Astyanax mexicanus: one gene and its partners. The protein of the gene in region 4 purifies or fractionates together with the protein of the main gene of each other region. This does not show direct contact. Links are inferred from orthologs where the notes say so. Each region holds a gene or a part of one and is shown on either strand. Other genes may lie near its edges.

Region 1 (7,380 bases), on a different chromosome or scaffold from region 4:
ACATTTTTCGTATGTTTGATAATTAATTACTCCAAAATGGTAAAGTAAAATCACTTGATACTTATGTTATTAATAGTATAGAATGTGTTTTTCAAGACTGTCTCGGTGGCATTGGATAACAATTTGATTTGCTGGTTTTATGCGACCTTAAAATCTGGTTTATACACAACTGAATAGACATTTTTTCTAAGTTTGGTATCCAATTATTTCAAAATGATACAGTAAAATCACTTGATACTCATGTCAATAATAGTATAGAATGTGTTCTTCAAGACTTTGTTAGTGTCATTGGATAACAATTTGATTTGCTGGTTTTATAGGACTCTGAAATGTGGTTTATGCACAACCGAATAGACATTTTTTCCAAGTTTGGTATCCAATTACTCCAAAATGATACAGTAAAATCACTTGATACTCATGTCAATAATAGTATAGCCTGTGTTCTTCAAGACTTTGTTAGTGCCATTAGATAACAATTTGATTTACTGGTTTTATGGGACTCCGAAATCTGGTTTATGCACAACCAAATAGACATTTTTCCAAGTTTGGTATCCAATTATTTCAAAATGATACAGTAAAATCACTTGATACTCATGTCAATAATAGTATAGAATGTGTTCTTCAAGACTTTGTCAGTGCCATTGGATAACAATTTGATTTGCTGGTTTTATAGGACTCTGAAATCAGGTTTTTGCACAATCGAATAAACATTTTTCCTAAGTTTGGTATCCAATTACTCCAAAATGATACAGTAATATCACTTGTTACTCAAGTCATTCATAGTATAGAATGTGCTTTTCAAGACTTTATCAGTGGCATTGGATAACAATTTGATTCAATGGTTTGTAGGACTTTGAAATCTGGTTTATACAGAAGTGAATCAACATTTTTCGTATGTTTGATAATTAATTACTCCAAAATGGTAAAGTAAAATCACTTGATACTTATGTTATTAATAGTATAGAATGTGTTTTTCAAGACTTTATTAGTGGCATTGGATAACAATTTAATTTGCTGGTTTTATAGGACTCTGAAATGTGGTTTATGCAAAAGTGAATCAACATTTTTCGTATGTTTGATATTTAATTACTCCAAAATGGTACAGTAAAATCACTTGTTACTCATGTCATTAATAGTATGGAATGTGTTTTTCAAGACTGTCTAGGTGGCATTGGATAACAATTTGATTTGCTGGTTTTATGCGACCTTAAAATCTGGTTTATACACAACTGAATAGACATTTTTTCTAAGTTTGGTATCCAATTAATCCAAAATTATACAGTAATATCACTTATTACTCATGTTAATAATAGAATGGAATGTGTTCTTCAAGACAGTCTCGGTAGCATTTGATAACAATTTAATTTGCTGGTTTTACAGGACTCCAAAATCAGGTTTTTGCGCAACCAAATAGACATTTTTCCTAAGCTTCGTATTCAATTACTCCAAAATGATACAGTAATATCCTTTGTTACTCATGTCATTAATAGTATGGAATGTGTTCTTCAAGAATGTCTTAGTGGCATTGGATAACAATTTGATTTGCTTGTTTTATAGGACTCTGAAATCTGATTTATGCAAAAGTAAATTAACATTTTTGTATGTTTGATATTTAATTACTCCAAAATGGTACAGTAAAATCACTTGATATATATGTTATTAATAGTATAGAATGTGTTTTCCAAGACTTTGTTAGTGCCATTGGATAACAATTTGATTTGCTGGTTTTATAGGACTCTGAAATGTGGTTTATGCACAACCGAATAGACATTTTTCCAAGTTTGGTATCCAATTAATCCAAAATGATACAGTAATATCACTTGTTACTCATGTCATTAATAGAATGGAATGTTTTCTTCAAGACTTTCTTGGTTTCATTGGATAACAATTTGATTTGAAGGTTTTATAGGACACCGAAATCTGGTTTATGCACAACCGAATATACATTTTTCCTAAGTTTGGTATTCATTTACTCCAAAATGATACTGTACAATCAGTATACATGCATGACATTAATAGTATGGAAGGTATTATTTAAGGATTTCATGTTCTGATTTAAGAAGAATTAGATTTTTTTGGTTTTATAGCACTCCAAAATCCCTTTTATACAAAACCGAATAGATAGTTTTGGTATTCAATTACTCAAAAATGATACAGTAATATCACTTCAAACATATATCTGGGATACATGAGAATAAGATCTTTAAGAATTTAGGGCTGTGATTTTATAACAATTTGATTTGCTTATTTAATAACACTCCAAACCTTTTCAAAACGTTACACTGTTCTACAGATAAGAAGTGGTCTTTCTGGTGTATATTTGTGGATTAGACCTCGTTAAATCATGTTTATTTAGGTGTAAAACTCGTTTCTGTTCCATTTTAAGTCTCTGCACGAGAAGCGCCAGTCTCCGCTCCTCCGGGTGCGCTGTGCACGCTGCTACAGTAAAACACGGTTTAGACGCGCACTCCAGTTTTCGGTGTGGATAGCGCGACCGAGCGTTTTCTAAGTGCAGATGGCGTGACCGCGGTAATATTACATGCACGTTCTGTGTTGCTGGTAATATGACTAGTCCGAATGATTTCAGAGATCAGTAAATCTGATATTATTACTACACTAAAAGTTCTATATCTGATTAATGATTTGATGAGAGTTTTTATTAGTAAAACAGAATTAGACCTGTATTACTGGGTTATTTTAGGCTGAATCGGTTTTACCATACAGGGTGTGTTTCTCTCACACAGGCGAAATCGATCCACACACACACACACAGCCGTACCTTTCTGGACCTGCTGGTATTTCTCCAGTTCAGCCTGCAGTTTCTTCTGTATTGCTTCTGCCATGCTGCCGCGCGCTATAAACAGTTAAAAAGTGTTTAATTCAACAGTAAATAAACCGGATTAATCCCTCTGCACCCTCAACCATGCACACCAGCCCTCAGCGCAGTCAGAGTGACGCACTCATTCTGCGACCAGCACCGTAGCAGAGTCAGATCTCCCCCTGCTGTACTTTACTGGCAGTACACCCCCTCTATTTAAAATACCCCCATATAACCTTAAAACACACCTAATTACACATAAAACACCACATATAACCTCAAAACACACATAATTACATATAAAACACCCCACATCACATAAAACACCCTATATCACCTAAACATTTACATATCTAAATACACATAAAACACCACATATCAAATAAAACACCCCATATCAAATAAAACACCCTTGTCACCTCAAACATATACATATCTAACATACACATAAAACACCACATATCACATTAAACAGCCCCATATTAAATAAAACACCCTATATCACCTCAAAAATATACATATCTAAAATTCACATAAAACACCACATATCTCATAAAACACCCCATATCAAATAAAACATCCTATATCACCTTAAACATATACACTTATAAAATATGCATACAATAGCCTGTATCACCTTAAAATATACCTAAACTACACATAAAACACCCTATATCACACAAAACACCCCATATCTCCTCAAAACACACCTAAAATATACATAAAACACCCCATATCTCCTTAAATCACACCTAAAATATACACAAAACTCCCCATTTGACATAAAATACCCTATATAACCTCAAAACATACATAAAACAAATAAAACACTCTATATCAATTAAACATATACACTTATAAAATACACATACAATTGCCTCTGTCACCTTAAAATACACCTAAGCTACACATAAAACACCCTATATAACATAAAACACCCCATATCTCCTCAAAACACAACTAAAATATACATAAAACACCCCCTATCTCCTCAACCCCCCTCCTAAAATATACATAAAACACCCCATTTTACATAAAATACCATATATAACCTCAAAACATACATAAAAACGCACATATACATATCACATAAATACATATCACAATACATATCACAATACATATCACAATACATATCACATAAAAACACCCCATATCACATACAGCACATTTAAATACACATACAATATATATCACCTCTAAATTACACCTAAGCTACACATAAAAAACATCCCATATCCCACAAAACACCCAATATCACCCAAAATACACACAGAATACACATAAAGCACACTATATTACCTCAATTTTTTTTTTTTTTATCTATTTGGTCTTTTTAATCATTTTATATGCACTTCAATTATAAGATTTTTTATTAATGAAGAACTTTTTTGCTTTTCAAAAATGTCCAGTTGTTTTTATTATACTATTATAAATTTATTACAAAATAATAATAAAAAAAACACTTGTGTTTTTTACTTGAGAAGTAAATGTATTGTGTTTGCTGTAAGTGTAAGCAGTGTTGCTCCTCCTGCTCTGTAGGCGGCGCGCTCTCCCCGCTCTCCCCTCTCTCTCAGCGTGTCAGCGGGCGGCAGTATGGCAGCTCACATGGTTTGAATAAGGAGGCACTGAGGGAAGAGTCTGAAGGTCTTTGGGTGTTTGTGAAGAGAGGAGTCGCTCTGACAGGTAACCTCCTGCTTTTACTGCTTTTTCCCGCTTTTCTACTGTAATATTATTAATATTACTACACTGAGGAGAGGCCTGGCTGCAGGGAGACAGAGGGGGTTTGGTGGATGCTGTACTGGTCAGTGTTGTTTATTGCACAGCAGTGTTATTATTGTGCTTTAATTCACACTCAGTAGTAGTTAACACTGCCTACCACGTGTTCTTGTGTGTTTATATATGTGTATATGTTGTCATTGGTGTACAAGCAGCGTATCTGTTAATAGTGGTTTACATTTGTGCTGAGAAAACAGTAAAGCAAATTGTAAGTCAGTCCACAACCACCTTGACAATTAAATATACATAAAATACCCTATATCACCTCATAATAAACCTAAGCTACACATAAAAAAACACATCCCATATCACATAAAACACCCTATTTTTCCTCAAAACAGGCCTGAACTACACATAACACCCTTTATCACCCCAAAACACACACTGTAAAGACCAGTTAACTAGGATAACAGCAACTGCCTTTGTCCTTTTAAACTAAAGCTCTCAGGCTGGATATTTTAGCAGTTAGTCTAGTCCAGTTATACATACTGTAGCTTTATATTAGCACTCCTAGCTTGTATCTCTCCCTCAGAAAAAAGCCATTACACTCACAGTTTTTCCAGATTGTTAATACACATTTTTTGAAAGCCTGCCTCATATTCTCAAAACTCTACACAAATAAAAAAAAAAAAAACGCACACGATAGGCAAATATTTTTATCTCTTGTCAAAAAGGTGTTTTGTTTTCAGATAACACACATAAACTGTCATATGAACAGATATTTATAAGAACCAGTTAAACACTGATGTGCTCAGTGTAAAACATGATGAATGGAAAACACTTCTTCTCCATTTATCATAATGACTTAGTCCTTTTTATGTTTAATGTTATTCCTACTACAGACAGTACATACATATTTGTGTTGTATAATATTTTATAATATTACTTTTATACTCAGAAAACACAAATACACAGTAAAAATGTATATATAATATTTTATTATAGACAGTCTACATCCCAACCAACACACAGTTGCATGTACAGTGGTCTACATACAAAACAACAGAAGAATTTACTGTATACAGTTAAAGTAAAAAAAAAAAAAAAAAAATATGCTGCATCTGTTTCAGTCAGCCCACAGCACCTCATCCACATCACAAGCACAGTTTTCCCTGGATACGCAGTGGGGAAATATGCCCTAGCATGATGAATCCAGACATGAAAATAAACTGTACAGATAGTAAACTACTGTAAATAATGTGTAAGAACAAAAAGTATGAATACATTTCCTAAATAATTGAAACATACTTTATTTTTGCAGAACAGTACACAGGCAATACTGTACTACTACACTCATTAATACTCTTTTGATATACATCACTGCAATTTTCTAGTGAGAGTAGATTTCTCAGATGATGGATGCTACAGTGTACCTCAAATTTGGCTGAGCTCACTTGTTTCTCTTTAATGCTAAAGCTGTATTTGTAATTGTAAATCTGTATAAAAGGCATTTGCCCATGTGAAGAGTCGGTGCATAGTAGGGTAACTACCTTTAGAGTTTTTTGAATAACAGTTCGTTCTTTGTATAAAAAGAGCTTTTCTTCATGAAAATTGTGTGTAGTTTGTTTTAGAACTGCAGTTTGAGTGTAAAGTTCAGGGGGTTGGTACATGGGTTACATGTTGTAGTCAGTGTGCCTCAATTACCAGTATTTGTGTGTAAATAATTAAGAAAAACGGTAACACTTAAAAACACTAAAAAGAACGTAAAATGTGTCAACATTCACAGTGGAATGCAGAAGTTTGGTCTCACAATTAAAACAATAAATCTTTTACTGTCAATAGGGTAAGATATGGGTGTCATTATTAGTCCCCAAGCAGGGAAATTCACATTGTAATAGAAGCAATGGGATAGCAAGGCATTCAAAAGAATAAAGTAAGAAAGGAAGTATAAGAAAGAATAGGGAAATTTGTTTAAAAAAAGGATATTTACTACTGCACATAAAACATGTATGTTAAATTTAGGCACTTTCATAACATCAGGATATTTTTTTTGTCATTATTTGACTGTGGTGCTGTGTTCTTGTTCTTAAATTGTATGATGAATGAACCGATTGAAATGGTCAAGAATAGGGATGCACAATATTTGCTGTACCAGTCACAATTTCATGAAGTGTTTTTAATCATTTAATTTATTATCAACATTTTAGATACATTTTAAAGACATGAAAAAAATTAAGGCACATGTGTGGAATTATGTAGTAAACAGAAAAATGTTAACCAGTAAAAATCCAGCTGAGATGGATGATTTGGGATGATGGGATGAATTCTGGGTCACGCTATTCAGTTAATTAATTAAAAGTGTTTTTTTTTTAATTATTCCTTTTAAAGTTGTTATAGTTAAAGTTATAACAGGGTTTATATTCTCTCTGTTTTAAGTTATAAATGTGCGTATTGTCATTGGCAGCGGCAGATGGTGTGTACATGTGTAATATCGGCCCAGAATTCCCATATCAGTGCATCCCTAATCCAGAATTAGTTTGTTTATCAGTCCTTTATCAGCCTGGTGGTTTTTCTGGTACCAGTGTGTTGGGAGGCCATCCTCCTCTCTGTAAGTTTCCTTCTCACAGTATGAGATCAGGCCCACCCACAGGTGTATAGCTGAAGCTATGTCTGGCTGTGCAGTCAGTCACGGGTACACAGGGAGTACAGGAGCACAGTGCTGAGCACACAGTCTTGAGGGTTTCCGGAGTTGAGTGTCAGAAAAGAGGATGTGATTCCACCCATTTTTACCACCTGCTGTTGGCCTGTCAGGATGTTCAGAATCCAACTGTGGAGAAAACTGT
Region 2 (7,765 bases), about 4.6 Mb from region 4:
AATTGGTCTTGTAAATTAGGGAGAAAATGGGATATAAATTAGAAAAAAAACATAAGGAATAATCTGTGCACTTTCAAGGCTCTCAGTGCCATGTTTTAAATGTCAGGGCTCTTGGATTTGCACTAATGACGTTTGGAGCAACATTGAGATTGCTAATGGTGTAAAAATGGCAATTTCTTTGCATGGGTAACATTATGTCTCTCTCATATTATTTTAGTATTGAAAGCCTGTTGGGAGCATCTGCTAAAAGCTGTGTATTTCAGAATGCTAGGGGTACTCATTATCATTTTTCAATACAACCCAAGTCCATGTCACACTGGATTTCTCCTTTAAGCCACCAGTATTGCGTGTAGCTCGGCCTATCCCCAAAGATTACACTTATAAACAGACTGAAAAATGATATACTGACATGCCAAAAATTTGGCCTGATAGTGGGTGGCATTGAAGATTCCATAACTTACAGTGTCATGCTTGTGTTGGGAATTTGTAATAGAAGGCATTACCTCCCACAGTGGACAGTTCAGTAGGTGTTAATGATCGTTACCAGCTAGAATATTTTATTCACAATAGATGAAACAAAAGAAGCAACTCTAGCAGGAATCGCATCCATATTCAATACAGCAGACCCCCCACATACACATATACTGCAGGTTTGTTCAGCGTTCTTTAGCTTCTATGACACATGGCAAAAGTCATGGGACATGATACTATTTTCTGTCCTATTACTTTTGGCATGTATTTTTGTGTAAATTTACTCATATCTGACAAATGCAGCAAATTTACCACTATTCATATATTCCATTGTAGCTGCCATAAATGTGCAGTCAGTCTAAAGTGTATATTGCCACTCTCGGCCCTCTAGATCAGAGACGGCCCCGTGGTTCATCTGGCAGCCACCACCACCTAATGTACAACCAGCTTTGAGAGCCGATGAGGTGGGCAGACTCTATACACTTCACCTGCTGTCTGTGGGCTGGGCCTGTACTCATTAACTTTTACTGTATCAGCTCTCTTTCTGTCTGTAATCATCTGAAATCATTTAACAATAATGAAAAAAAAATGATCTCAGGTCACCACTCCTATTTTAAGGGTAGTCTTTACCTTCAGGGTCTGTTATCTCGGGTCTTTCTCGTCTTGAAACACTTGAAAGTGGGGATTTATCGTTGTTTTCTTTTCTCAGTTGTGAAATGCTTAAGTGTGGGTTAACATAGAGGCATCCATGTTTTAACTTAATCCATGTCTATGTGGAGCTTGGTATTAATAATATTTATAAAACTGTTTAGAGACACAGAATCCTTTATAGAGCTATAACTCACTTAATGTTTGTACATAGATCAAGATTCATACATTAATTAACACAATGGTGTATTCAGTCCTGTTATATGGTATGATTATTAATGTCAATGCCTGTAAAATTCTGTATGTAGGTCCAGATAATAATTTCTTACTCTATAACTGGATTCTTTAGATATTTCCCAAAAGTGATTTCCCAAGCAAATCGCTTATACTACTATTTATCAATTTCAACATTAAGTATGTTTCATAGCCTGCAGATATTTAGCCTGCAGATATTTTTGTCAAAACTACAATTTAAAAGTATTTATTGAATATTTAACACTTTAATATACTAGCAGATAAACCAACATAGCGTAATATATTTACCTCAGCAGTGCTATTCAAAGAATAGCGGAGGTATGTAGGGCTGCCACCTCTGCTCAAAAAACCCTAACTCTAGAGAACATACTGCAATACGACTTCAAATAAATGAGTATAATTTATTATTAGTTATTCACATTCCACTCTTTTTGTATGAATATTTTTAGTTGCGTCCCTAATTGCAAGTGATGTTTACATAGTTCATCTAAAATGAGGAAAATATCTGTTTTCCTGTTCTCAACAAAAGAACATAAAATCTTTTGTCTCGAAACACATTTAGTGTCACTGCCACAAAAAAAACTTGTACCGTATCTCTAAAAAGCAGCTTAAAGTCTATATCAGATTTTTAATGAATAAGTGAGTAAAAGATTTTATTCATAATTATTTAAAGCATTTCTATTGGTAAATTTATCATGAAATTCTAATGCAATATAAATCTAAACAGCCTAATTTTATTGAAATTAGCCAATTTGTATTGTAGCCAAATTATACTGAAATCAGCTAAATTCTCCAGCAGTAAATAGCTGTGATTTCTCCTGTTCTGTCCAACAGATGCCAGCCAGCTGACTCTGGACTCTAACACAGCCTACAAACAGCTCTACATATCCCGAGGAAACAGGAAAGCAGCCCTGAAGAGAGACCCTCAGTCCTACAGTGACAGCGCCCAGAGATTTGACTGCCTTCCTCAGGTTCTCTGCAAGGAGGCCCTGTCCGGAGGGGCCCATTACTGGGAGGTGGAGTGGAGCGGGGAGGGAGCCTCCTTTGGCATCACCTACAAAGGAATCAAGAGGACGGGCTACGGAGATTCGGCCCGACTTGGCTACAACCGCAAGTCCTGGAGCCTGTTCTGCTCCGACTCCAGCTATTCGGCTCGCCACAGCAAAGACCAGGTGGAGATTAAAGCTCCCTACTCGTCTCGCATCGGGGTCTTCCTGGACTACGATGGAGGCACTCTCTCCTTCTACAATGTCTCTGAGTCCATGTCACTTATCCACCAGTTCAAGGCCTCCTTCAGTGAGCCGGTCTTTCCTGGCTTCTGGGTGTGGTACGAGTCGGCCATCACTATTTGCCAGTTGTAGAGCTGTTTGTGTGCTAGGGTAGTATAAGAGGATGAAGAATTGCGTAATTATATATTTTTGATCATTATAAAAGAACAGATTTTTTTAATGTCACTAAAAATCCACTTTCTTTTTCTTTTCTTTTTTTTTAAGGAAAATACCTGTGTATGATATTTGTCAAATTACATGTGTGACAATGTACGTGTGTTTCAGAGCCAGTGATTGTATTATTTTTAATATACTATATACTATACAATATTTTTAATATACTATACTATAAATACAGTATAGACAAATGCTCCAAATGTCAGCTTAAATGTAATGTAACTGCATATTAATAATGTTTTATAAACATGAAGAAAGCTAATAATCAGAATGTACACTATTGATTTGTGTGTGTGTGTGTGTCAAGGCACCATTGTTCTGTGTGCACAAATGGAGAAATCAAATAAAGATTTATGAAATGACAAAGTTATTGTATTTGTTTTTATAATAATTATTATATTATGTAGTTACAAATGAAGGAAAGCTTCATTCTTGTTGTAGTCAATCAACAAACTAAACAAACCACCCCAGCAAATAAGTACAAAGTATGTGTGAAAAGTGAGACAAGCTTCAGGGTAGATTAAGTAAATAACAAGAGCGCCATCTACTGGTGCCAGACGCTACATTACAAATGGCACCCTATATCCTATACCAGTGGTCTCCAACCATAATAAAAAATCCTCATCTTTCTGCAGACTTTGCAGCCAATCCTATTTCACTCCATTAGATTTAGCTAATTACCTCCTTCAGAAGTTCCTGAGTTGCTGAATGGGGCATATTAGATTTGACCTTGTTGAAATCTGCAGGAAGAAAGCTGGCCTCTACACTAAAATACTGTGCTTTAAAGGAGCAATCTTTTTGTGTTTTAGTCTCTGGTCCAACCCACCGCCCATTCCCCAATCCTATTTCCACACCCTGGGTTGCCAGGTATTCAACACAACAGCAAACACAGCTGTGTGGAGCCATGGAATTAGCCAGTAAGATAAACTGGTTTAGCAGAAACAGCTTTAGCGAGATGCTACCTAAGCTAAAAAAGTCTCAGCAAGTGATATGACCAGAGACAGAGTACAATGCAAGCAAATACTGGCAATGCATTTGATAGTTGGAGACAGCTTAGAGCCTAGAAGGACTTGTTTTTGTCAGTTCAGTGTCCTCAACTTGACAACCTGTCTGAACAAAACAACAGAATAAAAAAATTAATTGAGATAATTGAACGAATTAAAATATTAGGAAGAAAAACATATTAGAAGAGTAAGTGGTGGGATAAAATGATTAAATTAAGATTTAATTAACAAGAGAATAATATTTAAAAAATAAAAGATAAAATCTACATGAAAAAAATAACAAAATATTGAAATAGCTAATAAAAAAACACTAAAAATGAATGTTAATACAAAAGGATAAAATGTGTATTATATACATATACCTGTAAAAACTTGTCTTGAGGTGCTGAACAATAGTATTGCCTTCAACCAGCAATATAATTAATTAAATATGATATAATTATATAATATATAATATAACTATATAGTATAAAGTATAATTATATTCATAATTCAATATAAATATAATTCACGTAGACGAAGGACTAGAAATATAAAAGAGGTGGTCTCAATGTAAGCATTCTCTTCAAAACCAAATCTCCTTCTCAGGAATTTACTTTATAAATAACCACAATTATAAAAATGTAAATGATGGAACTAAAATAAATAATAATAATAAGTAAAAATATATTAAGAAAATAAATAAAATAAAATAAAATAAAAACGTAAAGGTCAAAAGTAAAAGCAGTAACAAAACAAATAAAAAGATGAAATTAATAAAATAAATAAAATAAAAGGGCTAAAAGGTAAAGCATAACATTAGATAAATAAAAAAAACAATATATAGTGAACTTCTTTCACTTTGGGAGCCACCGGAAAATATGTATAATAGCATGATGTTTTTAAAGTAGGAATGTTATCAACAGTACAGGTGTGTGAGTTCAGAGTTGAGTGGTAAACGAGTGAGGAGGAACTGTAGTGAATCTGTTTGCTAGACGAGCGCATTTCGGCTGCGCACCCATTCAGAAACCGCCGGCCGCGAAAAGAGAGAGAGAGAAAACATGGCAGCGCAGGTGAGAGCGAGATTCTCTGCTTTAAATATAGACTTATTATTCTTCTACTAGCTCTTATTTAATGGCCTAGGTCTATATAGAAACTGTATTAATGTGTGTAAAGCTTTAAATCTGCTGTAGAGAGAGACGGGGCTTTTGTAAATATCTGAGTGCGAGTTAGCGGGTTAGCGTAGCTTCCTGCACATGTGTGTACCTGCCCCTCACTGCGCTTCTGTACTGTATATACAACTAACTAACTATTTAAACACTTAACCTGCGGTCTCTGATCATTTCTGAGTGCCTGCCCCCTAGCTGATCTTAACAACTGGCTCGTCTTATTTAGTTAATTTATATTTAGCTTCAGTTAGTTAGCTTGGTGTTAGCATGCTAGCTGGCTAAGTTAGCTAAAGCTAGCAATTTGACCATCCTACAGATAACTTACATTACAGTAAACAGCTCAGCATATGGTTCACTGACGCTAGCTGACACTTTCTCTGTTAATATTAAACATATTATTGTAGCTACATTATGGTTTATAAAGAGTAATTTAATTTAGTTGTGCTAACCGTATGTAACGTTACTAAGTTAGCTAGCTACTGTTGTGGCTCATGTGTCACTATGGCAACATGAACTGTTGAGGCACGCGCTGCAGTGCTTAATTAACTAACGTTACCTAACTAGTGACTATAAATGTGATTTTGTCTTTTGTTATAGATATACACATGTACATATACACAGCTCTGGAAAAATAAGAGATCACTTAAAAATGATAAGTTTCTTTGATTTTACCAAATTAAAAACCTCTGGAATATAATCAAGAGGAAGATGGATGATCACAAGTCAAGATCACAAGCCATCAAAACAAGCTGAACTACTTAAAATTTTGCACCAGGTGTGGCATAAAGTTATACCAAAGCAGCGTGTAAGACTGGTGGAGGAGAGCGTGCCTAGATACATGAAATCTGTGATAAAAACCCGGTTATTCCACCAAATATTGATTTCTGAACTCTTAAAACTTTATGAATATGAACTTTTTTTGTTTGCATTGTTTGAGGTCTGAAAGCTCTGCATCTTTTTTGTTATTTCAGCTATTTCTCATATTCTGCAAATAAATGCTCTAAATGACAAAATGTTTATTTGGAATTTGGGAGAAATGTTGTCCGTAGTTTATAGAATAAAACAACAATGTTTTTTTAACTCAAACATATACTTATAAATAACAAAATAAGAGAAACTGATTCAGAAGCGGAAGTGGAGTTTTTATTGTACTTTATAGACTTTTTTGTACTTTAGAGTAATCTAAATTAGTCATTAATAATTTAAATTAAATCAGTTAAATTACTTTAATTAATGCGTATGTTGAAAGTATAGAAATGGAAACTATTTCTATCCAGACCTTGGTACATGATGATGGACATCATTTGTAAGTTGAAAATGCTTACAGGTAAAAAGTGTATAAAGACTTTATACAGTTGGTTATTTTTCATGTAAATGATTTATTTCTGTGCTTTGGTGCCTAATGATTTTTTTTTCTTTCTGTTTGTCAAAGATGGCAGCCACGAAAGTGCCCGAGGTGCGAGACATCACCCGGATAGAGAGGATTGGTGAGTGATGATGATGGACATTAGGACACATATGACTAGAACACACATGATGCATGCTAAATATGTAGTCTAGTGTTATGTAGTGTAACCGTTAATTCTCTTGAGCTTAGAACAAATTATTTTTTACTATGGATAAAAATGTTTTGTTGTCTGGGGTTTTAGGTGCACATTCACACATTCGAGGCCTTGGACTAGACGATGCTTTGGAGCCACGGCAGGTGGGTCTGCGTATACTGGTTTTCTTCATGTGTTTTGCACCAGTATGTACAATAATTATGTTTGTGAACTGGATAGTTTGTAATGATTTTTGTGGATTTTTTTGCTCTGTGCTGTTCAGGTTTCTCAGGGGATGGTGGGTCAGCTGGCATCTCGGCGGGCTGCTGGTTTAATCTTGGAGATGATTAAAGATGGGCACATTGCTGGCCGTGCTGTGCTCATCGCTGGCCAGCCTGGGACTGGCAAGACTGCTATTGCTATGGGTATGACTATTTGTATTAAGAACAATTGCCTTATTTTCTGTTTATTAAAAGTGGACAGTTTCCACTGTAATTCCTATTTTATATACAATATGGGTCAGTTTCCCTAGTCCTATACAACATGTTCCTTTCAATGGGAAATCTTCACTTAAGATTCAGTGTAGTCAAAAAACTAGGCTTAAATCCTGTCTAGGTAAACTGCCTTTGATTAATGCTGCTATTACCTGATATTGTGGGACCCATCAATGACAGTCTTTTGTTTTGGTTGGACAGGCATTGCTCAGTCACTTGGATCTGATACGCCTTTTACTGCTTTGGCTGGGAGTGAGATCTTCTCTCTGGAGATGAGCAAGACAGAGGCACTCAGCCAGGCCTTCCGCAAAGCCATCGGAGTCCGAATCAAGTTAGTCTGACTGAGGAAATAATGTAACGTCTTGTCTATATAGTTTGCCTTAGCAGTAAGGAGTAGTAGATTTTAAGAGGTAACATTGTAATTTCTGTATGCCCCATCCAGACCTGCCAACACCAATTTTGCTTAACAGTCTCGCATTTTGACCTCCTAATATGCTAATATGTACAATCCCATGTTCTAAAGTATGCATATCGTTTTGTCTCGCATTTTCCATGTTAGTCTCAAATTTGACTGTTGAGTGTATTAGCGTCCGCTCACAATGTTGCGCTGTTTATCAACGCTGATTTATGTCCAATTAACATGCACACTAATCCTGCAAGCTACCCAACGAGCCATTACATTTTTTCCTCCGAATGAAAAATATCAGCACAGCGATGCCGTGTTGACATTTTTCAGTCTCTCTCTCTCTCTCTCTCTGT
Region 3 (7,356 bases), on a different chromosome or scaffold from region 4:
TAATGTTAGGTTAAATGTAACTCACTTCTTTTCAGATTTCTTTTCATACTTGTATTAACTACACGTTTAAAAAAAAAAAAAACACTAAACCACAACTTATAATACCAAATGTGGGAATGATTTATGTTGCTGCAACTGACTTTGTCTGAAATAAAGAGTTTTCCCTTGAACAGGGTTTTATTAGGTACAGCTGCTAGAGTTCCAGTGATTTGAGGACATTTTCTTTTACATAAGAGGAAACAATAATAAAGAACAATACCATAATAGTTTGCCTTAATTATTACTTTAAGTAACAGTGGGATATTCTTGATTGATGATCAACTGTTGGGGATATTTGCTCCCTTCACAGAAACACAGTGAGCTTGAGGAAATTCTTTAAAAAGAAGCAGAAAGTATGTGAACATTTCTTTACAGGACAAGACAGTTTTTTTTTCCAGTGGAAATGTTAGTGCAGTTAGCTGGCTAGCCAATATTATGAGATCTATCAGCTATCTTAATGTTGGCTATCATTTCATCCAAATTCAATTAAGACATAAAATGTATTTTTTATTTTAGGCAGTACTGTACTGTAATGCCAAGAATGAGGCCAAGTTCACTCTGACAATATTGACTGACTTTGTTGTTTTCTGAAATTGCAGTGATCCAGAATACATAAAAGTTGTCAGCAGAGGGAAGCATGAAGTGCTGTAAGATTTTGTGGGAAAACACTGCACTGACTTTAGACTTGATAATAAAACACAGTGGATCAACACCAGCAGATGACATGTCTCTCCAAGCCATCACTGATTGGTGGAAACTTCACACTAGACCTCGAGCAGTTTGGACTGTGTGTCTTTCCACTCTTCCTCCAGACTCTGGTCTCTTAATTTACAAATAAAATGTAAAATGTACTGATGATCAGTGATGGTTTGGAGAGACATGTCATCTGCTGGTGTTGATCCACTGTGTTTTTTGTTGCGACGCATCAGAGCGAGAGTCTATAAAAGGGGGACAGAGTCCACTGCAAATCACTTATCGTTTATCAGGACTATACTAATGAGCGATAGTGAAGGAGAGCAGGGACCAAGCTTATTTTCTGTATATTTAGGAGAGGAAGATCAGCTCTTTTCTACAACTTTGTGGTAAAGGCATTTCCGGTCCCATGGTGTAATGGTTAATCACTCTGGACTTTGACTCCAGCGATCCGAGTTCGAATCTCGGTGGGACCTAATTATACTTTTTAGGCCACACATTAGGAAGACTTATGTGCACAGTAACTATAAGCTATTATTAATTTAATTAATAATAGCTTATAGTTACTGTGCACATTTGTAGTTTTACTTTATTTTAAAGTAGGCTCTAGGCTCTGTTTTTTTTGCTGTGGTTCAGAGGTGATGTGCTTAGTTTTAGCAGCTTTTATATTGTAATAATCAATTGTATACACAGCTGTTAAACAGGAGATTACAGCTCATTCAGAGCAGAGCTGAGCCTGTTGTAGTTCAGCTAACTATCCCTGTAGCCTAGCTAAGCTAACCTACACATATAGGTGCATTTCGTAAAATTAGAATATCATTGAAAAATTACTTTGAGTAATTCAGTTCAACATATAAAACTCATGTATTATATATACAGTATATGTATGTATATATATATATTACACACAGAGTGATCTATTTTAAAAGTTTAGTTCTTTTATTGTTGACGTTATGATTATAGACTATAATCATAACGTCAACAATAAAAGAACTAAACTTTTAAAATAGATCACTCTGTGTGTAATATATATATATATATATACATACATATACTGTATATATAATACATGAGTTTTATATGTTGAACTGAATTACTCAAATAAAGTAATTTTTCAATGATATTCTAATTTTACGAAATGCACCTATATGTGTTGGTTAGCTTAGCTAGGCTACAGGGATAGTTAGCTGAACTACAACAGGCTCAGCTCCGCTCTGAATGAGCTGTAATCTGATGTTTAACAGCTGTTATTAATCTAGTTACCTGCTGTTTATCAGCGAGCACGTCTTCAGCTGCCACTTCTACCTCCATCAGATACTCCATCACCCTGCTGGAGTCCATCTCCCTCCTACAGCAGCAGCAGCACAGCTCCTCACACAGCGAGTAATTATACAAAATAAGTCCCCCAGTCTGGGGAAACAAGGACCGCGCGATAATCAGTTCCGCCCAGTTTCAAAATTAAAAATCAGTAACTACTGACACACAATCATGCCTAAAATACTTTTTACACCCTGAATTACCTTTTCATATTAATAGTTGAACTTTAATGCACACAGACACACAGAGATTGGTACTATCAGAGCCGGTTTATGAAAAGCCTGCCCACTCCCTATCGGTCCCATTATATCAAATTATAATTATAATTAATTATAATTATATAATTATAATTATAATTATATTTATAAATTATAAATTATAACATTATAACTGCACACTAGAGAGAGCCCGCGAGCGAGACCTAAATGAATAGGAGTGAATGGAGCTAAACGGCTAAATACACTAATTAAAAACTTTAGTAACTAAGATTTTTATATCTACTAAGCAAGGATCATCCTTTAATTTTGAAACAAAAATAATGAATTCCCATACGGAGGAAGAAATACAGAAATAAATAAGTGAATAAATAAATGAGAAAACGATTTATAAATATATGTAACAGACGTTAAAAATACACATATAGAAATATATTAAAAACAATAATACAGAAATTATTTGAAAGAGGAAAATATACATTCTCATCACAGTTTACATGGTTAGTTACCTTTCTTTTAGAAAAATCTCCGTATATCCAGATTAGTTTTAACGACAGCTGCTCCGACTAGCTGCCTGAACTCACAGCGAGGGGAGGGGCGGGGCTTCCCCCACACTAAACAGCTCTCCGCAAAACCAGCAAGCTGATTGGCTGTTTCTCCTGAAAGGCGGGACTTTCTCCTTGAACCGGCACCACGATTGGTTAAGAGACACACAGCGGTCAGTGCATTGTCGCCTGTGGCCTATATATTTTTTTATTTAGTATAATACGGGAAATTTACGGGAAAATACTAATACGGGAGGAGAGGAGTAAAATACGGTAGTTTCCCGGCCAAAACGGGAGACTTGACAGGTATGACTTATACATTTCCATTTTTCTACAGAAAACAGTTTTTTATTTATTTACTGATATTTTACCACAACAGGGTAAATTAATATAAGAAATAATACAATTATCAAAATTACTATGATTATTTGTTAAACTTAAACGGCGCCCGCTTTGACCGGTGTTGGTCGGTCCGAGCTAATGTTGGCAAGGCCATGAACTCACAAGTTGACGTAGACAGCTTTTCCTGATCGACTCATTTTTCTGAGGATTTTCTTTTACTAGCTACTGCGGACAATGGAGGCTGAGAAACAGTTTTATATGAGACATACAACTCAGAGAGCAATAGGAAAAAGTGGATTTTAGCGGAAGGAGACCTTTATTTCTAGATTAAAAACATTGTATTCTAATGTTTCTCTCTCTGGATGACAGGCTTTTAATCATTATAGTTTTTGTGTCCTTTTTCCTAACATTTTTATAATTGTAACAAGTAACGATGCAGCACATAGAAAATGTATAACAGTAAAAATATAAAACTCATACAAAATATGTATTGAAGTAAAAGTGGAAGTAGGAGAAAAAAATAATACTCTACAGGTACAGCATTTTAATACTTAAGTACAGTAGTGGAGTAAAAAGAATACTCCAGTAGATACAGATCCAGTATTTTAGTAGAGAAGTAAAAATAATACTTCATTAGATACGGCATTTTAGTATCTAAGTACAGTAGTGAAGTACTTCTCTGGTTTTAAGGTACACAAAAATTCAAAGTGTCACTCGGGCCTCCAAATTCCCCAGCTCTCAAAGCAATCCACTGTGGGATGTGCTGAAACAAAACGTTTGATCCGCAGAGGCTCCACCTTGCAACTTACAGGACTTAAAGGCTCTGCTGCTACCGTCTTGGTGCCAAATACCTCAGACAACTTTCAGAGGTCTTGTAGAGTCCAGAGCTGGTTAGAGTTGTTTTTCAGTGATATGTGGAAGACCTACAGAAGTTCACTGGTGTATTCTTTAAATCCACAGAACAAATATCAAACCTTCCAAATATTAGTCACACTATCAGGCCTCACGTCGAGTAATAACACAATATAAAACATTTTTTCTTCCCGAGTTCTGTTATATTTCAACTGCTTACATATAAACTCAATAAAAAACACCAACATTCCTCATGAACTTTGATTTTATGACAGTAGCCTATGCTAGTTTTATATTTATTGGGATAAAATACAAGAATTGGACTTGTGCTTTATCATAGAAACAATCAACATTTCACTACAAAAATACACAATTATTATAAAACTTGATCAATGCTGCGTATAATAGCTCAAAAATGAATATATGTTCTATATGCAGACTGTACTGCAGATCACTTTCTCGGCCCGTTCTTTCTGTAATAATGTGCACTACTATGCAATGCAACAGTATGCCTTGCAAGATAACAATAAACATTCAGAAGTGTGTTGTCTTCACAGATTTATGACTAAACTGCAAATTACTTTCACGTATTAGTCCATAAACTACCCTCCATCATGTTCTCCTTATACTGTCCTTAGTAACGGCATTCAGAGAAAAAGAAAATGTCCATAAAACACTGCAACTACAGATTAAACAGTTGGTAATGTAGTGCTAATTGTAATTTTTTTTACAAGGAAAATACTTAAATTTTTGTGTTTCTTTGGTCGCTTGTGTTGCCATCTTCCTAATGCTTCCTTAAATGTGCCTCTAAAAATTTCATAACTAAATAAATAAGTGGTAGGGCCAAGGGGCGATATAGGACAGGGCCAAAGGCTATATTTCGTGAATATTCTTAATAATAAATACATTTAAAATCTCATTGTGCTGACCACAAAAGCAAGTTTATGGGGAATAATACCTTATTTCTATTCACTTGAGGCACAAACAACAACAACAAACATCTGGGAAGAAAACATATATGCAAAATTGTTACGTAGTGTAATTCACACTGCCTTGCCATGAGCACAATGTCTAGTGTTCAACATCACTCACAAAATAAAACTTTTACAGGTTTGGGAGTTCCCAAGCCATCCCCTGAGGTAACGCTACATGATTAACTTTATGAACATAGTGCTATCCCATGTCTTTTGGCAATTTGTTGTATTTGTATTTTTTTGTTAATTGTACAACAAAGCACAACGTTTTTGAAAAATACACAAAACACCTCAAACAAGCATTTTTTTTACTTAACAAGAAGTCATAGTCAAGAATAACAAACAGCAATAGAAAATGACACACATTTACATTCCTCAGTGTGCTGAAATACAGTGTGCTGTGATGAAGACTAATTTTGTGAGGTACTGTTATCATCTGCTGTAAAACTGGAATGCTTCAGTCCCAATTTCTGATCGTGGCAGTCTTGGGTCAGTCATGTAACAGAGGAAGTTGAATTATTAATATTGCCAAAAATAATCTGTTTCCAAGCTGCACTTCAACTTATTATATCTCCTAGAAAAATACACATTCATCTTAAACATAAGTGAATTACACTAAAACATCAGTATCATTAAATAATAACTGTAACATTAACATAACTAGCAATGATAAAGGAAGAGAAACATGCTCTGGCTGTTTGTTCACAAAACAAAATAACCAAAAAAATACAAGCAACATACAGCAGTGCTTGAAAGTTTGTGAATCCTTTAGAATTTACTATATTTTAAAATAAATATGAGCCAAAACATCACAAGATTTTTACATAAGTCCAATAAGAAGATAAACCGACCCCAGTTAAACAAAGGAGAAAAAAAATCCATGGTCATTTATTTATTTAAAATATATACATATATATACATATTTGTGAGTGGTAAAAGTATGTGAACCTCTAGGATTAGCAGTTAGTTTGAAGGTGAAATTCAAATTAGAATCAGGGTTTTTCAATCAATGGGACGACAATCAGGTGTGAGTGGGCAGAGCCTGTTTTATTCAAAGAACAGGGATCTATCAAAGTCTGCTCTTCACAACACATGTTTTTGGAAGTATATCATGGCATGAATAAAGGAGATTTCTGAGCACCTCAAAAGATAAGTTGTTCATGTCCATCAGGCTGGAAAAGGTGGAGTTTGGACCCTCCTCAGGAGAACACTGAACAACAATAGAGTGCATGTCAGTGTTTCGAGGAGAAAGCCACTGTTCCCCAAAAAGAACATTGCTGCTTATCTGTAGTTTGCTAAAGATCACATGGACAAGCCAAAAGACTATTGGAGCAATATTTTGTGGACGGTTGAAACCAAAAATAGATCTTTTTGGTTTAAATGAAAATCTGTGAAACATGGTGGTGGTAGTAACATGGTTTTAGACAGCTGGCCTTCATTGATGGAACAATGAATTCTGAATTATATTAGAAAATTCTTAAGGGAGATGTCAGGACATCTGTCTATGACCTGAATCTTAGGGTGTACTCACACTAGGCAATCCGAACCGTGCCCGGGCACGGTTACCTCCCAAAGCACGGTTCGTTTGGCTAGTGTGATCGCTCCGAACCGTGCCCGGGCCCGCTTGAAGAGGTGGGCCCGAGCACGGTTCACTTGGACCCGGATCAAGATGACGTCAGTGATGCGATGCTACTGTAAACGGAGGACGTTTTATACACAATTCTGCATATAATATTTTTGAAAAGGGTTCTAAAGAGCACCATAATGGTTAGTGTTACCCATAATAAATTAGGACTACTATCTACAAGTCCTAAACAACAAACACATTTTATTATTACTTGAGTTTTATGTTTCGCTCCTTTGGTCACTATTTATGTATATAGCAAGTACGTCTCTTACCTTACTGATAAACGTGAATTGTAGTCCGCGAGTAAAGCTGCAAATTTCTCCCTGGACGTCTGCTGCTTGTGTAAAAACCTTCTTACACGTGCAGCACAATTAGCAGTAAATCGCTGTGTTGCACAATCAATGAATCTCTGGTTCAGTTGCGTATTTGCACGCCCAAAACGACTCCAGAGAAACAAAAACAACAGTACAATCCTGAACTCCATTGTTTTGCGCGCGCATACTGTTCTTCAAAACAAAAGTCACCTGTTGACGAAAGCGTGCTCGGGCACGGATCGTTTAGCGCAGTGTGAGTGCAGGCCTGCGGGGGAGTGGGGAGGGGGCCGAACCGTGCTCCGGCACGATTCAACCAAAACGGGCCTAGTGTGAGTACACCCTTAAGAGAAGGTGGGTCATACAGCAAGACAACAACCCTTAGCACACAAGTCATTCTTGAACCAAAGATTGGTTCAGGGAGAATAAAGTTAGTGTTTT
Region 4 (7,364 bases):
CCTGACTGCTGTGGTCAGTCCCCTTGTAAATTTTCTTCCAGGAAACTGGAAGGTTCATCTTTCGTTTTTCTGAAACCAAAACCAGGAATAGTCCACCAGCTCTGCAGGACACACAGGAACCAAAAGTACAGCCGAAGCAGTGAATCTGCTGGAGCTGCTGGTCAGTCCTCAGCATCGCTAGCTCTGATGTGAGAGATGCTCCGAGCTTTTAAACAGGACAAATCTCATGTAGAAAAGTGGGTCGGCTACCCCCTGCAGTGCCACCCAAAAAGACAAGCATAAAGTATTCACTGAATAATTCTCCACTTCCATCAGCTTAACCTGAAAACAAAATAAACAATTCACTGATGCCCAGGCTGCTTTTTATGATTTTGTTCATTTATTAGCTGCTAAATAGAATAATTTTGTCAATTTATAGAATTTTTTTTCTGCAAAAAGCAAAATGTTATTTGACTTAAGTCAGCCTCAGTATTTTAGTACTTTTTTAGCATAAGTTTTAACAACAACTATATGTTATATGCAAACATTTAATTAGACAAACAGAGAATCATATTGGGTTACAAACACAGCCAAATTAATATATTCATCCTCCATTCAGCCTCCAACTGATATTTATTTTTAGTTAAGTATTTATATTATTTAACTGACCCAATATTTTTACTAATCACCTATTCTGTTTATAGCTATTTTATATGTAGGTTTTCTTTAACAAAAAATAAAAGTTCATTGGTCACATACATAGTACAAGTGTCAGTAAAGTGTTTTGCCAACTGTCAGATAATAGAACATAAGAAATAATACAATTATACAGTTTTAAATTGCAGTATATTCTGCAACTTGGTCTACAACACGACCTGCAAAAAATCCCACAAATAACAATATCTAGCCCAGTACTAACCCACAACCTAAAAACAAGCAAATCGCCTTGTGAATATAATAGCACCAAAAAAAAAAACGATATTACACATTTAATTTTTGTGATAATCATCTTTTGTGTTTATTTGTATATTTGTTCACGTATACAACAGTCAAGAGTTTTAGTATTTTAGTTATTATTAAATAAAATTGTGTTGTCTTTGAAAGTGTTTAAATGCTTTGTTATGCTATCCTATTCTTATTATGCCAGTGTTATGGCATTTAATGATCTTAAAATAGCAATAATATTGTTTATCGCAATAGTTTCTGGGTCGATACATCGTCTACAAAAAAAATGATCACAACAGGCTTATTTTACTCTGTTATTTTTGCTATTTTATATAAAAAAATACATATTTTCATTTTGTGCGTTTCCTCATATCTTGTTTTTAAAATAACAATAAATGGACATGATTAAACATTTGTGTTTATTTGTATGTTTGTTCACATACATAACAGTGAACAGTATTTTAGTATTATAATCATGATTAACTATTAGATTAACTATTAACTATTAGACTACTAAATTGTGTTGTCTTAAAGTGTTTAATTGCTTTGTTATGATGATGTCCTATTCGCATTATTTACGTGGCATTGACAATAAATGTAATCTATCGCAATAATTTCTGGGACAATTATGTCATCCTCAATTTGTTTTTATAATAACAGGCCTGTTCATTTGTTATATTTCCTATACAAAAAAAAACCCAGTTTATTCAGATTATTTTTTTTTATTACTGTTTTTTTTGAGCATTTCCTCATATTTAGTTTTTAAAATAATGTACTAATATTAATTAAACCACACTACTGATATTCTACTGTATAGTCATATTATTTTATATTTTTGCTTTTTTAAATAAATTGTTTAGTTACATTTAAATTTTAAAACACTTAAAACACTCAAATTAGCTGGTTAATATGATTTAAGTCAGTCATGTGTTTATTAAAATTGTATTGTCTTTGAAAGTGTTTAAATGCTTTGTTATCCTATTCTGTTCTTATTATTTAAGTAATTTAATGGTCTTAAAATGACAATAATATCGTTTATTGCAATACTTTCTGGAACAATATATCTTCCACAAAATAGACCTTACTCTGTTATTCTTGCTATTTTAAATAAAAAGTTTTTCTTGTATTACTACTGAATAGTCACTTATCTATATCAGCGAAAGAAATATCTTAAAATAGCAAATTCCAAATATTTCTAGTTCATAAATTGCATTACTATGTTACTTTATATTGTTGCTTTTATAAAATAAATTGCTTAGTTAGATTTTAACTGTAAACCCCGAAAAACCCTAAAACATTAAACACAAAAACTAGCTTGACAATATATAACGTTAACTGCATTCAGACAATAAAACTACGTCTATAGACATTTAGCTAGCCTACAATACGTCAATTTTCCTACGTTTCAAAGCTAAAAATTGCGTTAACAGGCAATAATTCTGTTTATTTCCTTATATCGTGTCTTTAAAATAATAGTAATCAAATTAGACACAACTAAAACTTATAAAAGGACTAATAAACACTGAATTAAGGGGTGAATTTTCATCGATATTTATTATTAACATGTTCCTGCTTGACAGCAAAAGCTAACAGTCAGCTAGGTTAACCACCAGCTAGCTAACCTAGCTTAGCTTAGACCCTGCTGGCTACAGACCCCCTACCCTTATTTAAGCTAGAATTTAACACACAAATAATCCTATTTAAAAATATATACAGTCTTGTGAGATATGTTCTAGCTTGTTGTTCAACATATTAAGCTTTTAAAACCTTTAAAATCTGAGTTTAGTTAGCCAGCTTACCTTCCAGAAGGCGCTGAATGATGCTGTCTATGTTGAGCTTGTCGATGTCGGCCATACCTCGCCAGCTAAACTACACAAATATACACCTTTCTTATAGTCCTATCTACCGTTCTACCACCTAATGTGCGGCTAAAGCCTCATTAAACCTGTTTTATATATTTTATAGGCTGAAATATACGCTAAATAACGTGTTTCAGGCTCATTTATCTCAGCTAGCTTAAGAAGTTCCTGAGCGGCTTCAGCCTCCGTGCGCTGCTGCGCCTGCGAGTCGACCGCCGGGCGGGGGCGGAGGAATACGTATGTCAGGCGCCGGCGTGGCGGAAGAATACACTGGTCAAGACAGAGGAGGCAGCAGTGTCTTTCGCAGTGCACTGTCCTGTATGTCAGCCTTACTACAGCACCGGATCTACACACAAAATAGTGCACAGTTTACAAATTATTAATGTATTAATATAACTTATATAATACAGTAGCTATACAGAACCAGTCAAAAAATTGGACACACCTTCTCATTAGGTGTTTTTCTGTATTTATTTCATTTATTTGCTACATTGTAAATTAATATTAAGACAATCAAATGACACTTTATGTGACCACTTCAGTTTTTGAATCAGTTTCTTTGATTTAGCTATTTATAGGTATACGTTTGAGTAAAATAAACACTGTTGTTTTATTTTATGAACTACGGACAACATTTCTCACAAGTCCCAAATAAAATAATACTGTCATTTAGAGCATTTATTTGCAGAAAATGAGAAATGGCTGAGACAAAAAAAAAAGATGCAGAGCTTTCAGACCTCAAATAAAGCAAATAAAACAAGTTCATATTTATAAAGTTCTAAGAGTTTCAGAATTCAATATTTGGTGGAATAACTCAGTTTTTTAATCACAGTTTTTATGCATCTCAGCATGTTCTCTTCCACCAGTCTTACACACTGCTTTTGGATAACTTTATGCCACTCCTGGTGTAAACATCCAGTGTCAGCAATTGATACACCTTAAGCTGGGGTTTAAGGGGTGTCCACAAATAGTGTCACCCAATCTTATCCTAATAAATACACACCTAAAATCATATTTTATTTACTTCATAGAGCTATAAAAATGTGTGTAAACAATTTAAATGTAGTCAGTTTAGTGAAACAGCATAGGTGAACTATATTTAAAGATTAAAGCTACAACTAAAACATCCGTCAGCTCTGTGGAGCAGTTTATTTAGTGTTTTGTTCTAGGCACACTGTGACCTTGCAGAGCATGTGCAGAGCATCCCATTCTGTTGCCAATGTTTTCCTCTTTCTGCGGGTACAAAACTGAACAAGCCTGTGTCAGCAGTGAGGGGGACACCTGAAAGTAGCTGAATATCATTACATGGAGTCTCTGAATAATGTCCTTAATCAGCATCAACACTGACGTATACAGGCACGGGCAGACAGACAGTCAAAAGAGTCAGTCAAAATCTAACTTTTGAAATTACAACTTTAGAAATGGTCAATGGATCTGTATGGATTCGTGTGAAGTGGGTCATGCAGCAGGACGATGACCCCAAATACATGATTGGATCTTTTAATGCTGTGTAATGCATTTACACTGTTCCACTGCGAGGTGAAGTTTATGCAAATGGATCTATCGAACACAATGGTTTTAAACGGTTTCAAATGCATGGAGGAAACGATAGAAATTGCGTTTTCGGGCTTTCCAGTCTTTTATGATCAATCCCTGCTGATTTACAGGGACTCTGATCAGGAAAATAATAGGAAATAGGAAATAAAGCTTGTATTAAACCATTAACCAACAATTATTAAATTGATTTAAATGTACAACCCACGAAATGTCATTGTAACGCCCACATGCAACCAGTTGGAGCGGGGCAGTGCATTTATATGCATTGACATGGCAGTACAGTGTAAATGCAGCTTAATAATTGGTTAAATTGGGAGAAATACAAAATGTTTTCCAATCCCCAAGCCTCAAGTCACACAAGTTACTGAAAGCAATGGTTCATATACTTTTTCAAACAAAGATATTTAATTTTCAACAATTTTATTTCATAAATAAATGTAAAAGCATTAATATTATTGCAGCATTTGTTTTATTTGGTTTACTTTACCTTCTTTTAGAAGGTTCTAATCACATTCATGCAGAAATGCAGATAACTGTAAAGGCTATCATGTAGACAAAAACAATAATAAAAGACATTTAATCTGTAGAGAGGAGACATAATAATAATATGTTTTTGTGCTGTTTTTCAGATGTAAAAGGGTCGGGCGGTTAACCAGCAATTAGCAGTTCAAAGTGATGTTTACTGCCTGTTCAAACATTGAAAGCACCCTGAATTCTTCACTCCAATGAGGAATGCAAGTTTTCCAATCACTTAAACTAGTTTTTCTCCATCTGGCTTGTCTGCTCCAGGCTCTGAACTTGTCCCTAAAACCTTCATTTCCTAGCATACACCCAACACTGGACTTCTCTCACACTACTGATCACGTGATGCTACAGTGTTCCTGCTCTCCAAGCTATTGATTGTTTTCACCTGCTCTTCCCTGTATATATACCCCTTAGTTTGGCTCGCTCTTTGCTGAGTATTTAGTAATCTATTTTTTCTAGCTCTCCTATGACACATCCCATGGCTTTTTCCTTTTTTTTTTTACCAACCTGTTTTATATTACCATTGCCCATTCTATTCATTACCTTGCTACCGACCTTATTTTTGTATATTTGACTCCCTTTTGCCTTCTTCTTTTTGTTTGCAGGATTTTTCATGGATGACCCTAGATTGCCTGATAATTTTCTCTGGTATGTTGTTTACATTCGTGCCATTCTGTTACTGACCCTGCCTGCCCCTCACTACTCTTGTAAGCCTATCCCCTTATCAAATAAACGTCTGTGAGTATCTGCAAGTGTCCGTGTTTATTAGAAAAGAACAGAAAACAAAACCAACTCAAAAGCAGAGGTTTAATTTCTGTGTTTATTTCTTTATAGCATTTGGATTTGAAAGATGATTAATAAAAACACGTTTTTACATTTACAATTTATTTACAATTCATGCTTTTGCTGAAGGCTGTATTTTTGAAGTCTAAGCTAACCTTTGATGGTTGAGTTGTTGAGTTGAGTTTGATTGAAATGTTGGCCATCCAATCAAAAACTGGGGAACCAAATCTTGACCAGTATAGTGTGTACTGCTGCATTTCAGTCATGCTGGTTGACCAGAATAGTGATGTTGGTCAAGCTGGTTGTGATGGTTGACCTGATGAGTCTTGCTGGTCATGCTGATCAGCTTGCTTGTTTATGCTTACTTTATGTAAATAAAGAGCAGAACTGGTCAGTAAGTTTATCCAGCTCGAGCCTATTTTTCAGTGGTTAACTCTAGTGAGAAGGATCTCAGGTGAGTTCCACACAGCTGCTTATGGGAAAATGAATAGATGTAGATCTTGTGCCACCTACTGGTTATACACTGCATTAGTTAAAACATTGTTTCAGATCCTGTGTCCATTGCAATGGACATCATTTATTTTTGTTTGATGTTTTGCTGCACATTACACTAATTGAGACCTGTTGTCCATCAGAACAGATCATGAACCAGTCAATAAGAAGTTTGCAAGCTAATGAAACAGTAGAATATTCCCGCCCACCACTAGGGTCTTTTTTCCTAATTTTATGTGATAGAACTTTTTATTACGTTTATTTCACTGTTTACAGGAGGTTATTATCAAAGTCATTATCATAAATAAAATAAAAATGTTAACAGGCAATCCAATACAATGGACGTTAAAATGAATTTAATGTTTTTGTTGTTTTGTTGTCTTTCTGTGCATACATTACAGACAGAAAACAGCATTCATATAATATTCTGTCACTGAAACATAATTCAGGTCTGAAGGTGTTGAAAGTGTTTTTTTTTATTATGTTTTTGCTAGTGGTTTTTCTTCAGTTATTGAAAGTATGATCTTAGTCTAGATATTTTTTAGTTACTTTTCTAGTCTCAGCTTTGTTTTATTCTTTGCTATTTTGCTTTATGGCATCTATTAAAACCTCCTTGCATTTACATCCTGCCTCCAAGTCTGAGATGTTACCATAAATAGGATTTAAACACCTAAAAATGGGTGGTGTGACACCAGAATTGCCCTGTACCCAGCTGAAAAATAAACAGCATGACCAGCTGAAGGTGGTTAAGCTGGTTAACCCCTTAACAGGCCAGCATTTTTGACAATTTTCTGCCTTATATTACATGCCTGAATCTGGAGGATTTCTGTTCAAGCATTAAATAAAAAGGTTTCATGTTTGATAAGACATTTTACTGTCCGTGATGGCTTTACAGGATACAAATAAGATGGTTTATTAATGAAAGTAGTGGTACAGGGGATAGTCAAAATGTTAAGGGACAACACCAGTATACAACAGCAACAGAGAGCAAACATACCATAAAAAAGATTCAGTTCTACATGAGGTCATACACGAGCAGAAGGTATCAAATGGTACGCAGAAGCCGAATTAAAAAAACAAAACAAAACAAAATTTTACACAAGAGGGTAACACAGGCAATGGGATAAACAAGTTGTATGTGTATGTGTTAAACTTACAATATTTAGTAGGGTGTGTGTATAGTGAAGATATATATATATGGGTGTACACAGGTGTAATCAATAT

What was found.
Region 1: the proteins of ppp1cc (region 4) and pfdn6 purify together in Homo sapiens (affinity purification with mass spectrometry; 4 studies listed by BioGRID and IntAct, with this or other methods). This does not show direct contact. The link is inferred for Astyanax mexicanus from reciprocal best matches to the Homo sapiens genes PPP1CC and PFDN6.
Region 2: the proteins of ppp1cc (region 4) and ruvbl2 purify together in Homo sapiens (affinity purification with mass spectrometry; 3 studies listed by BioGRID and IntAct, with this or other methods). This does not show direct contact. The link is inferred for Astyanax mexicanus from reciprocal best matches to the Homo sapiens genes PPP1CC and RUVBL2.
Region 3: the proteins of ppp1cc (region 4) and pdrg1 purify together in Homo sapiens (affinity purification with mass spectrometry; 6 studies listed by BioGRID and IntAct, counting the BioPlex papers as one, with this or other methods). This does not show direct contact. The link is inferred for Astyanax mexicanus from reciprocal best matches to the Homo sapiens genes PPP1CC and PDRG1.

The regions. Positions count from the first base shown.
Region 1 is NC_064417.1:45,648,111-45,655,490, forward strand, and holds the start of pfdn6 (prefoldin subunit 6), read right to left. Parts: upstream 3,003-7,380; 5' UTR 2,844-3,002; coding exon 2,780-2,843; intron 1-2,779. UniProt on the Homo sapiens protein: Binds specifically to cytosolic chaperonin (c-CPN) and transfers target proteins to it. Binds to nascent polypeptide chain and promotes folding in an environment in which there are many competing pathways for nonnative proteins.
Region 2 is NC_064408.1:15,128,969-15,136,733, reverse strand, and holds the start of ruvbl2 (ruvB-like 2), read left to right. Parts: upstream 1-4,745; 5' UTR 4,746-4,863; coding exon 4,864-4,875; intron 4,876-6,403; coding exon 6,404-6,458; intron 6,459-6,620; coding exon 6,621-6,676; intron 6,677-6,795; coding exon 6,796-6,937; intron 6,938-7,207; coding exon 7,208-7,337; intron 7,338-7,765. Other genes in the region: ftr83 (finTRIM family, member 83), read left to right, coding at 2,209-2,735. UniProt on the Homo sapiens protein: Possesses single-stranded DNA-stimulated ATPase and ATP-dependent DNA helicase (5' to 3') activity; hexamerization is thought to be critical for ATP hydrolysis and adjacent subunits in the ring-like structure contribute to the ATPase activity.
Region 3 is NC_064431.1:7,233,028-7,240,383, forward strand, and holds the start of pdrg1 (p53 and DNA damage-regulated protein 1), read right to left. Parts: upstream 3,010-7,356; 5' UTR 2,774-3,009; intron 2,143-2,773; 5' UTR 2,074-2,142; coding exon 1,996-2,073; intron 1,209-1,995; exon of another isoform or gene 1,136-1,208; intron 1-1,135. UniProt on the Homo sapiens protein: May play a role in chaperone-mediated protein folding.
Region 4 is NC_064408.1:10,500,864-10,508,227, reverse strand, and holds the start of ppp1cc (serine/threonine-protein phosphatase PP1-gamma catalytic subunit A), read right to left. Parts: upstream 3,013-7,364; 5' UTR 2,779-3,012; coding exon 2,724-2,778; intron 1-2,723. UniProt on the Homo sapiens protein: Protein phosphatase that associates with over 200 regulatory proteins to form highly specific holoenzymes which dephosphorylate hundreds of biological targets.